Rattus norvegicus: one gene and its partners. The protein of the gene in region 3 binds, or shares a complex with, the protein of the main gene of each other region. Links are inferred from orthologs where the notes say so. Each region holds a gene or a part of one and is shown on either strand. Other genes may lie near its edges.

Region 1 (3,497 bases), on a different chromosome or scaffold from region 3:
CACACTCGTGGTGTGAGGTGGTCAGTGGTGACTCACGCCTTTAATTCCAGCACATGGGAGGTGGGTGGGTCTCCCTGTCTCTGGGGGTGGGGGGGATTAAAAAGGAGTAGCTAAGCCTGTCTGTCCTGACTGTTTTCAGCTCTTTTTTATTAGGAAGTTAGTCCCTGAGAACATACCAGCTTGATGTAAGAAGTCATTTCTTTTCAGGACTGGCCATTTGATGACGGAGCTCCGCCCCCTAATCAGATAGTAGATGATTGGCTAAACCTGTTAAAGACCAAATTCCGGGAAGAGCCAGGCTGCTGTGTCGCAGTGCATTGTGTTGCAGGATTGGGAAGGTAATTCCTCTTTTTCTGAGATCTAAATAAGCTAAGCTTCTCATCGTGGCCGAATCTGCATTCAGTAATTAATTGATACTAAATCACCAAAAAGGAAGTGAGAAAATGCCAGTGTAATAAGCTCTAATAAGAGCCTTTTGGGTTGGGTCTGGATCTGATTTTAGTGCCATACTGAATGTAATGAAGGTCCTTGCCCCTCTTTCAAGAAGAGATTTAGGTCATTAAGTGGGTGACAGAATTACAATTGTTTTAGAGATTAAATTATCTGTACATGGTTGGGTTTGGATTGAAAGGAAAGGAAATGAACTTAGCAGGTAGAAGGTTACTTTAAACTCTTTAATAGAAATGTGTACATAATGAGAATTGTCTGTGAATGTAAAATCCTTCTCACCAAGCATTGCTTTTGATAGTGCTTTATACTTCGATCAACAGCAGGATAAATGCCAGTTTTATGGTGTGCACTGTGACTCAGAACATTACTGTGAGCTTAGCCCCTTTAGTATGGCAAGGTTTCTTCATGAGGTTGGAAGGTTCAGTTCTCCTGAAGGTTGATGGTGTGAGGCCTTCCTGGGTGGCTTTATCTCTATCGCCTGTCTCAGATAGTTGGAGGCAGTGCTCTATTAATGTGCTTTTAAAACATTTTTTCTTTTTTAAGAATAGAGACTATAGCTGGATGGTCGTGGCACACTCCTTTAATCTCAGCACTTGGGAAGTAGGAGCAGGTGGATCTCTGAGTTGAAGGCCAGCCTGGTCTATAGATCAAGGATAGCCAGGGCTACAGAGAAACCCTGTCTCAAAAAACAAAGAAAGAATTGAGAAGCTGAGTGCAGTGTAGTAGGAGGCAAGGATGGCTTGTGAGTGTTAGGCTGGCCTGCGCCTCATAGTAAGAACCTGCTGTAGAGGAGAACATCAGTTACTGAGTCGGAGCGGGAAATACTTTTGTTCCTGTATGTCCCCATTTACCCACTCCTATGTCTGTCTGTCTGTCTGTCTTGTCTGTCTGTCTGTCTATCTATCTATCTATCTATCTATCTATCTATCTATCTATCTATCTATGATACGTGGTCTCTTGTTTTGTAGTCCTGACTGCCCCAGAACTCATTGTGTAGTTCAGGCTGCCCTTGAACTCGAGGTTTGCCTGTCTTCCAAATGCTGGGATTAAAGGCATTTATGCCACTATACCCAACACAAGCTCAAGTTGGAAATGAGTAAGCTTTCAGGTAAAAAGTAAAACTCTTGGGATTCTCAGGGCTTGTGGAGACTTACGGACGGCTTCTCTCTACAGGGCTCCTGTGCTAGTTGCACTTGCACTGATTGAATGCGGAATGAAGTATGAAGATGCTGTTCAGTTTATAAGACAGTGAGTATGAAGCTGTATGTTCAGACACTTGAAGCGGGCTGTGCATGAGGAAGAGGTTATGGGATGGAGTCATTTGGAATATACAAGCACTGGCTGCTTTGGGCTTAAGACACTAAAGGTAGAAAAAGAAAGGTTAAGGCAAGTGACAGAGACTGAATACCATTGGCATTTGTGGATTGTTGTTCTGATTTTGATGTCAGTATATCGTTGGATGTCTAGGAATCCCGACAGTGATTATTGATCAGTGCTGCTTGTATTGGATTTTATAACAGCACCAGTGCAGCTCCATAGGACCAGCAGGCAAAAGCAGTGCATGAATTGCATGAAGGAACAGTCATCACTTGGCAGTCTTGAGAGAGTGGCTGTTCTCATACACATATCCCCATAGTCCGGGCATTGATCTGAAATCATAGGCCATATTGTTCCTTTCTTTAACAAAATTAGAGCATGCACATCTGTCCTGAACCTGAGGCTTTGTCTTTGTAGGTTATTTTTTAAAGCATCCTAATCCCTGTTTGTCATTCTGATCTGAAGACTCTGTTAATCTAAAAGGAAAGAGTGATCTGGTGTTCAAAACCCTGCTGGTTTCTGTTAGACTACAGTAACAGGCAGAGAAAGAAACTTGGGAGGCAGAGGCAGGAAGAGTCTGAGTTTGAGCGGTTTATACCACAAGTTCCAGGACAGCTAAGGCTACACAGAGAAACACTGTCTTGGAAAACCAAAAGGGATGAAAGGTCATGTTTCAACTTTCTCAAGTAATGAGGTATGGGGGTAGGCAGGCTTTTAGCTAGGGAGGGCGAGCTAGAAGGCGTTAGTCTACTGACAATGCATTTCAGGAAGCTGTACAGTTGTTTGCTACATGACAGCGCACTGCTCTTGTATTTTCAGAAAAAGAAGAGGAGCATTCAATTCCAAACAGCTGCTTTACTTGGAGAAATACCGACCTAAGATGCGATTACGCTTCAGAGATACCAACGGGCACTGCTGTGTTCAGTAGAAGCAGAGGAAGGCCGGCTGGATCGTGGCATTAGAGGGAACTCTGGGTACCTGGAAATGTGAATCTGGATTCTTACCTGTGTCATCAAAGTAGTGATGGATTCCGTACTCCTCGACTCCTCATGATTGAGAAGAAGGCAAACGATAAAGAAATCCCTCTATAACACGAATAAAATGTTTAAGAAAAGAAAAAAGAAAGGAAAAGGGATTAATTTAGTGAAAGATGATTTTGCTCCTAGTTTTGGAGTTTTGATTTTTGCCAGGATTGAATTATTTCAAATCTCCTGTGTTTTTTAAGCTTTTTCAAAATAGATGTCTGAGGAAAACCAGCAGAATATTAACCAGTGCGGAGCCAGTTGTTGGGGAGCACACACTTCCATTATGCTTGGCACATAGGTCTCCTTGTGGTGGGATTTGGGGGAGGTAGATTTTCCCTCTCTCCTGCCTCCCTCCCTTCTCCTGATAGACGTAGATGGAATAGAAAGAAACCCTTGTTGCTGTAGATGTGCGTGTGTCTGGCAGCCTTAAGCCCACCTGGGCACTTTTAGGAAAAAAAAAAAACCAAAAAATAAATAAATGAATAAATAAATAAAAATAAAAGCAAAGAAAAAGCAGTGGCGCATATATTCTATGGTCCAGGCGGTTTCTAGTCTGTTGATAATGGATGCTGATGTTAGTTTTTTTTCCCTTGCAGCCCTGATCTACCATTAGGGCATGAAAGGTAGCCAGGAGCCTTTGGTTTTGTAAATGGTGAGGAAATGACGTCCTAGGTCTTCCTTTTCCCATCAGTGAAACAAGTGGGC
Region 2 (3,462 bases), on a different chromosome or scaffold from region 3:
ACAAAGGCCTGAGGATCACGTCCAGAAGTGTGTCCATGCCGTAAGACAGACGGTACATCCACACTGACACTGTCCCTCGTGCCACCCTTTACTCGGCTAAGGGAAGGGCCAGCCAGCCCACTGCTCAGAACTTATGAGCAGGATGAGGGTGTCCTAAGCAGACCCACGTCACCCAAGTCCACCACACTCAGATCTACCTGTACCCCAAACCACTGGTCGCATGAAGGTGGGGAATGGAGGTCACTGAACGTTGCAAGTGACCCCTGCTCTAACCTGAAGAGGTGATTCAGTCCTCAACTGTCACCAGTCCAAGCTGTGGCTCGGTGCTGATGTGTCAAGAGCTTAAACAAGGCAGGGTGCAGAGCACTGTATGGACACCAGAGGGCGCCAAGGAGGCGCACAGCAGCAGCAGCAGCAGCAATAGGACGGAAGAGATGGAGACCATGGCCTCCCAGGACCCACACCCCATTCCTGGCTCTGCATCACTCTTCACACACATCCACAGCTCCTGATTTATTGCCTTGAGAGTCCAGAGCACCTGGTAACAAAGGTGCTGGAGAAAGGTGAGGGTGAGGGCGCCGCCGCTGAGGCTCTCGGCCCAGTGGTTAAAAAGAGCCCACCTGCGATACACAGGCCAGGGGGAAGAGGCCCGGGCAGTGGGTGGAGGGGTTGGACAGGACTGGCAGAAGGTCCAGGGACGGCCTCAGAAAGACAGCCGTGGGCACAGATGGGGACAGAGCAGGAACGCACACAGCCGTTGGACTCCTTAGACCCTGATGTAATGGAGTACAGGGCGTACAGAGCCAGAACCCGCACTACATGACGCAGCATCTGGTCTTGTGCGTGTGTGGGTCTTTGAATCTCAGTCTCTGCTTAGGCCGGTACTTCTCCAGGTAGGTGAGCTGCTTGCTGTTGATGGCCCCACGGCGCTTCCTGCAGACAAGGACAAACGCTGGGTCATGAAGTCTGGCTTGGACACCTTGCTTGCCCCTGGGAGCTCCAGACCCTGGAGGCCTTGACTGGACAGACCCACAGGAAATAAGACTAAGCTGGTGCTCCAGGGAAAACAGGGAGGCCTGGGCTTCGTGAAGGCTGGGGAGCGCATCTCTCCCTAGCCAGCCAGCACCTCCTCAGTGCTGTACAAGAGAACTGTGAGTCTGTATTTAGTGCCGTTCTTCAGGTTGCACACCAGTCTGCATAGCCCAGGCTCCCCTACGGACCTCTGCAGACCAGTAGGCCGTACTACTACAGCCATTATGGGACTGCCCCAGGGAAACAAGAGATGGCTGTGCCTATTTCAGGCAGCACAGAGGTGCCTATACATAGATATGTCCCACACATGCCACAGGCTAGGGGTACAGTGTCAGCTGTGCAGTCTTTGCCCAGAAAGATCAGGAAGATGGGGGTCCTCCAGGAAGGCTACCATACCACAAGGAGGTATCGGCCTGGAAGCATCCAGGGAGAGTAGAGAAGGGGACTTCACAGGAAAGGCTACAGAAGTGAGAGGCGAGGGGCAAGGAAAGGCCACAGGGACAGCCTCAGCCCCGCCCAGCTATCAAGACCCGCCCCATTCCCTAAGCCCCGCCCACACGCGCTAAAGCTCCGCCCACACATTGGCTACTCACTGTCGGATGAACTGGATGGCATCCTCGTACTTCATCCCACTCTCGATGAGAGCGAGAGCCACGAGCACTGGAGCCCTGTGGGAACAAGCAGAGCTGAAGTTCCCTGAGATTCCGCACCCTTTCTCATCCCCCTGCCTCGTGCTACCTGACAAAGACACGGGGCATGAGGGCATAACTGACCCCCAATTCCCTCAGTTGCCCTTGGAGAGCACGGACTCCAGACAGGTCTGGCCCCTCCTGTTCAGCCTGAGGGATGCAGACAACCTCTCTGTGCCTAAGCACCTAGAAAAAGAACTATGTGCATACTGAATGAGTCCGCCCTCCAGCCCTCCTGCAATCCGAGTGTCCGGGGACGCTCTCCTGCCTGGCTCATTTCCATCTAGTGTGAGCAGCTGTTCTCTCCCAAGCTGGGGTCAGGCCTGGATGACCAGCATGTCTTTGTGGCAGCTCTTTTTCTGCATGAGGTGCAGTGACTGGATCAGAACAGGAAGCCCTCCCCGGGCCTTAGGTATAGCAGATGTAACCCACATCCAAATGCACGAAGCAATAAAGTTAGACTACAGGGGTGTAAGCGGAGCCTCCAACAGCAACATGAGCCCCACCTGTCACTTACCTTCCCAGGCCCGCCACACAGTGCACAGCTACGCAGCTGCCCGGGTCATTGTAGAACTTGGCCTTCAGCAGGCTCAGCCAGTCCTCTACCACCTTGCCAGGAGGGGGCGCCCCATCATCAAAGGGCCAGTCCTGCAGAGGAAGAGGCCTGAGGACTTGCCCTAGGGATGTTAGTTTTCCTTCCCTTGTCCCTTAAGACTTCCATGTGGGAGGCAGAGGCTAGCCCACAAGGAGAAGGCTCCAGCCCAGGGTATGCTGGAGCTTGGTGTGGGGAAGATGTGGGGAAGATGGAGAAGGGACCATTTTGAACCTATTGGTACGAACGGGTGAACCAACATGGGTCTTCAGGAGCTAGATGTTGGGAAAGAGTCCTTGGGGTCTCTGCCTCCAAACAGAAGCTCCTAGAGGCCTCCAGTTTAAGTGGCCATCCTGAGTCTAACCCAAATCCCTCCTGTGACAAAGGAAGGAGGTCCGCTGGGGCAACCTTGCACTGAGAGATGCTGATATACCTTTGCCTCGTGCTCACATTCCCCTAAACAACCACAGTATGGGAGGCCCTGGGCTTGCAGGACCTCACAGGAGGGAAGGCTCAACAGGACTCCCTCCCCTCCCCCAGGCCTGAGAGAGCCCAAGGTCTTCTTCCTCTACAAACTGATAGGCAGTGGATTTGAGACCCCATTGACACAGGGTCCCCACAGTGGGGTGAACTAGAGTCACTATGGTGCTGTGGGCTGGGCGCCAGGGCCTCTGCACAGTCAGCCAGGGTCTGCTGCGTAAGGCGTGGCTCATCTGAGCTCTGCACTGGGAAGAGAGGCCTTGTTCCAGGAAACTGCAATAGGCTAGAGGCGGCTCCTATGGCTGTCTCTCCTCTGGCCTCCCAGCACTATGACCAGTTCCACAAAGTTGCTCCTCCTCCCCTTAGCTGAGCCCCCAGGGTAAGGAAGCTAAGGAAACAGCAGCTAGGACCATGGCCTCTGCACAGCATCTCCCGGGACCCACTGCTGCCAGGAGATGGGCTCCCACATGGCAGGCCATGAGAGGCTGAAGAGAGGCCCCTGGGAGCCATAGCAAAGCATAGCCAGGCAAGCACATGCTGAGCCCCACCTCACCTGTACAACAGAGCTCTATGTACTGTAGGTCTCCAGGGCTGCCTGTCAGGGCTCAAGCCTCAACCCACAGTGCCAAATACACCCAGCAGGTGAGAGGATCAGCACCTTTAGAGGAA
Region 3 (3,073 bases):
CGAAGTAAGCCAGCGTCTCATACTATTTGGTGTGTCCATACGCACATGTGAGGGTATGCATGTGTTGGGGTGTCAGAAGTGTGGCGGTCAGAAGGGCATCTCTGAGAATCAGTTCTCACCTTCTAAGGCCCTGGGGACCAAACCTGTGTCACCAGGTTTAGTACCAAGCATCTTTACCCACGCAGCCATATGGCCGGCCCTTATTTTGTTTTGAGACAAAGTCTTGCTGGGTGACCTGGAATTCACCATGTAGTGCAGAGTGACCACAAACTCAAGGCAGTCTCCTGCCTCATCCTCATCCTCCCTCATCCTGGAGTGCTGAGATTATAGGCACGAGTCATGGTGCCTACAGGGTGCTATGCAGTTTTCACTACGGGAGGCTCAAGGCAGCTATGCTGGGCAAAAAGAGCTTCCGTGGATGGCCAAGAGCTGCTGTGCTCCAGTTACAAGGAAGCCTAGTGTTCCAGGACTAACCAGGTGTCTCATATCCCCGTCTTCTAGAAAAAGTAAATACCGGGAAAGTGAAATACAGTACCTCTCCCGACTCCTCCCACAGAGAAGCGCCCCAGCCTGGGAAGCTACCCAAAGTGTCGGCCAACAGCTAAGGGTGGGAAAGGAAAGCAAAGAAAAGGGGGAGGGAGATATTTACCTTGGTGTTCTCTTAAAACAAAAAATGCTCACTAGTCCACAGTCATTTATCAACTGCAGTTTCCAAGTGTGCCAAAGAGGGGAAGGTGAACTGGGAAGGCTGAAGAGAGCAGAGAGAGAGAGAAGGAGACAGGCTGATGACGAGTGGCAGGGACCCGCTTCAGCTCCACATCAAGCTCTGTACCATGCAAGGGTTGCTGGGAAGGCACCAATCGCAGGGCTGCAGGACTCACCAGGACTCAGAGAACTTGGCAAAGGGCCAAGAGTTTAGGTTTTGCAGGTCACCTGATGTCCCAAGTACTCAGCTGCACCTCTGCCACTCAGAGGCAGCCAGGCACAACCCAAACAGACGGGCCCTAATAAGGCCCTAATAAGACCTTATTTATGAGCTCATGCGTCGGCCAAATGAGGCTCCTGTACCACAGTTTGCCGACTCCCAATGTAGCAATTTAAAGTTCTTATACCTTTCAAACATTTCAACAATGTCACTTTTCTGTCAGGGATTTAGTGCCCAAGTCTGCAGGACCTGAGTCTCTCTCTGTATTAATCAGTGCTCCACCGAAACCAGCTCTGTGCAGTAACACTGATCTCAGAGTTGGGGACAAACACAGGGAGACCCCAGAGTTAGGTCCATCTCAATGTGGCAAGCATCGGATCATATTTAGGTGAAAATTGCCAACATTAGGCTGGCAAACAGGGTGGATAAACTGTTACACAGAAGAAATGGCCCACAAGCCACTCTAAGTCCTCTCCCATAGGATAGCCTCAAGAGTCGGCAAAGTCAAGAGGAATGGAAACGATCTCTTGAGACCAGAGGTGCAGCTCAAATGGTAGAAAGCCACCTATTGTGGGCAAGGCTCTAGAGGCAGGGAAGGAGGAGAGGAGGAGGAAGCGAAGTGGAAGGGGAAGACAGAAGGGGGAGGAGGGAAGGAGGGGAAAAAAATCCCCAGTGGAAAGCACCCTCAGAAAGCACTACTGTCCCCAGCTCAGGTCTGCACACTGAAAACAGCCTGCACAGTCTGAGTTCATGTTGAAAACAAGTCTCGATAGAGCTAACGTGACCGTGTGAACTTCTGCTCTGGGGTATTGCACAAGGCAGTGGTAAGCACTGAGACATGGTCTAAACCTGCCTTTCTGAAAGTGAAGGTGACCCGTGCCCACGGCTAGGACTGCAAGGTCTGCCTCGCCTCACAGGCTGTCCCTCAGGAATACTAGAGCTATAGCCCACAGGGCTGAGTCATCACCGTGGCTCAGCGCCATGGGTCTCTGTCCTCTGTACCTGTGTATCGCCACGCCTCTTGATTCAGAAAGCAGTACTACTGTAAAAACGTGCTTGTGATCTCAGGTGGCCGTAGCTCTAAGCTCCTGGGAGGCTGGAGCCGCCGGCCCTCCTGTACTGGACAGGCCCAGCATTCCCACCTCTCAGGCTGGGTAGCTCTGCCAGTGGAGACAGCAGCTCTAAATATGGTGCTTGCAGAGTGAATGCTTTGGCTCCCTCAGGTGGCAGAATGGAGTGAGGGACAGTGCCTGCCTGCCTGCCTGCCTGCCTGCCTGCCTGCTTTCCAGAATACTTCCCAGGCTCATCATGACAATCCTGAGCCTTATCCAAGGACTGATCAACAAACAACAGAAAACCCCACACCAGGGACTGTTAGGCAGGCCAGTGCCTACCCACAATGCAAACCGTCCCCCACCCAGGCGCCTTCTGTTTCCAGCGCTACAGACCTTCACTGTCAACACTGTGTTGTTGACTCAGCTCCACACCAAGTGGTCCTCGGAGCCAGGACCCAATTTTCTAGACCTAACCTTGATCTTAAGTGGGTTGAGTGTTTCTAAACTACACATCTCCCCATCCATCAAGAACCAATTAAGCCATCTCCAAGAGGTCAGAGAGAAAAGGCTGGGCTCTATTTGGAGTGCCAGCTGATCTATATAATTCGGTATAATCTAAGTCCCTACAAACGGCAAGAAGGAAAAGGATGCACAGAGAAACAGAAGGATGGGAGACAGGGAGCAGAAGCGGCGTCCCACATAACCCTGGGCCCCAGCACTTCACAATGCACTGTGTGGTACTTACCTGCTGTCTCTCTGGATTTGTCACCAAGGAGCCTGGTCTGGCTGCCCGGGATGGCCTGGAGCTCAGCGTTCTCTGGAGATGGAGGTAAGCTCTGGGCTCGGGTAGCCAGGAGTGCATTAAGGTACTGCAGCCGTGTGACCTAGAGGACACGAGAATGGAGAGATTACCTAGCAGATGTAGACAGACAGACAGACAGACAGCAGGGTTCCCGCCTCTGGCCTCTGACAGGCGGGACTTTAAACTGGTGAAAGGCAAAGGGGTTTTGGTTTTGGGCCTAGTGTTAGGATCACCAATAGAGAGAGCAGATGTAAGGTTTCCACACAGGCCCAGGTCCCAACATCCAGGGTC

What was found.
Region 1: the proteins of Cnnm3 (region 3) and Ptp4a2 are in contact, whole or in part, in a crystal structure (PDB 5K25), measured with the Homo sapiens proteins. The link is inferred for Rattus norvegicus from reciprocal best matches to the Homo sapiens genes CNNM3 and PTP4A2. Residues at the interface, in NP_060093.3 of Homo sapiens: Leu390, His391, Phe392, Val393, Phe394, Asp396, Thr397, Glu405, Ala414, Gln417, Val419, Glu424, Gly425, Asp426, Pro427, Phe428, Tyr429; in NP_001356788.1 of Homo sapiens: Met1, Asn2, Arg3, Pro4, Asp69, Gly70, Cys101, Ala103, Leu105, Gly106, Arg107, Arg134, Arg135, Gly136, Ala137, Phe138, Asn139, Lys141, Gln142.
Region 2: the proteins of Cnnm3 (region 3) and Ptp4a3 are in contact, whole or in part, in a crystal structure (PDB 5TSR), measured with the Homo sapiens proteins. The link is inferred for Rattus norvegicus from reciprocal best matches to the Homo sapiens genes CNNM3 and PTP4A3. Residues at the interface, in NP_060093.3 of Homo sapiens: Ser357, Asn358, Phe394, Asp396, Lys418, Val419, Asn421, Glu424, Gly425, Asp426, Pro427, Phe428, Tyr429; in NP_001425170.1 of Homo sapiens: Asn5, Pro7, Asp72, Gly73, Ala74, Val105, Ala106, Leu108, Gly109, Arg110, Arg137, Arg138, Gly139, Ala140, Ile141, Asn142, Lys144, Gln145.

What each region holds. Positions count from the first base shown.
Region 1 is NC_086023.1:147,471,935-147,475,431, forward strand, and holds the end of Ptp4a2 (protein tyrosine phosphatase type IVA 2), read left to right. Parts: intron 1-207; coding exon 208-338; intron 339-1,623; coding exon 1,624-1,698; intron 1,699-2,586; coding exon 2,587-2,695; 3' UTR 2,696-2,874; downstream 2,875-3,497.
Region 2 is NC_086025.1:107,546,988-107,550,449, reverse strand, and holds the end of Ptp4a3 (protein tyrosine phosphatase type IVA 3), read right to left. Parts: intron 2,370-3,462; coding exon 2,239-2,369; intron 1,701-2,238; coding exon 1,626-1,700; intron 934-1,625; coding exon 816-933; 3' UTR 501-815; downstream 1-500. UniProt on the Homo sapiens protein: Protein tyrosine phosphatase which stimulates progression from G1 into S phase during mitosis. Enhances cell proliferation, cell motility and invasive activity, and promotes cancer metastasis.
Region 3 is NC_086027.1:46,261,144-46,264,216, reverse strand, and holds part of Cnnm3 (metal transporter CNNM3 precursor), read right to left. Parts: intron 2,865-3,073; coding exon 2,726-2,864; intron 749-2,725; coding exon of another isoform or gene 699-748; exon of another isoform or gene 650-698; intron 1-649. UniProt on the Homo sapiens protein: Probable metal transporter.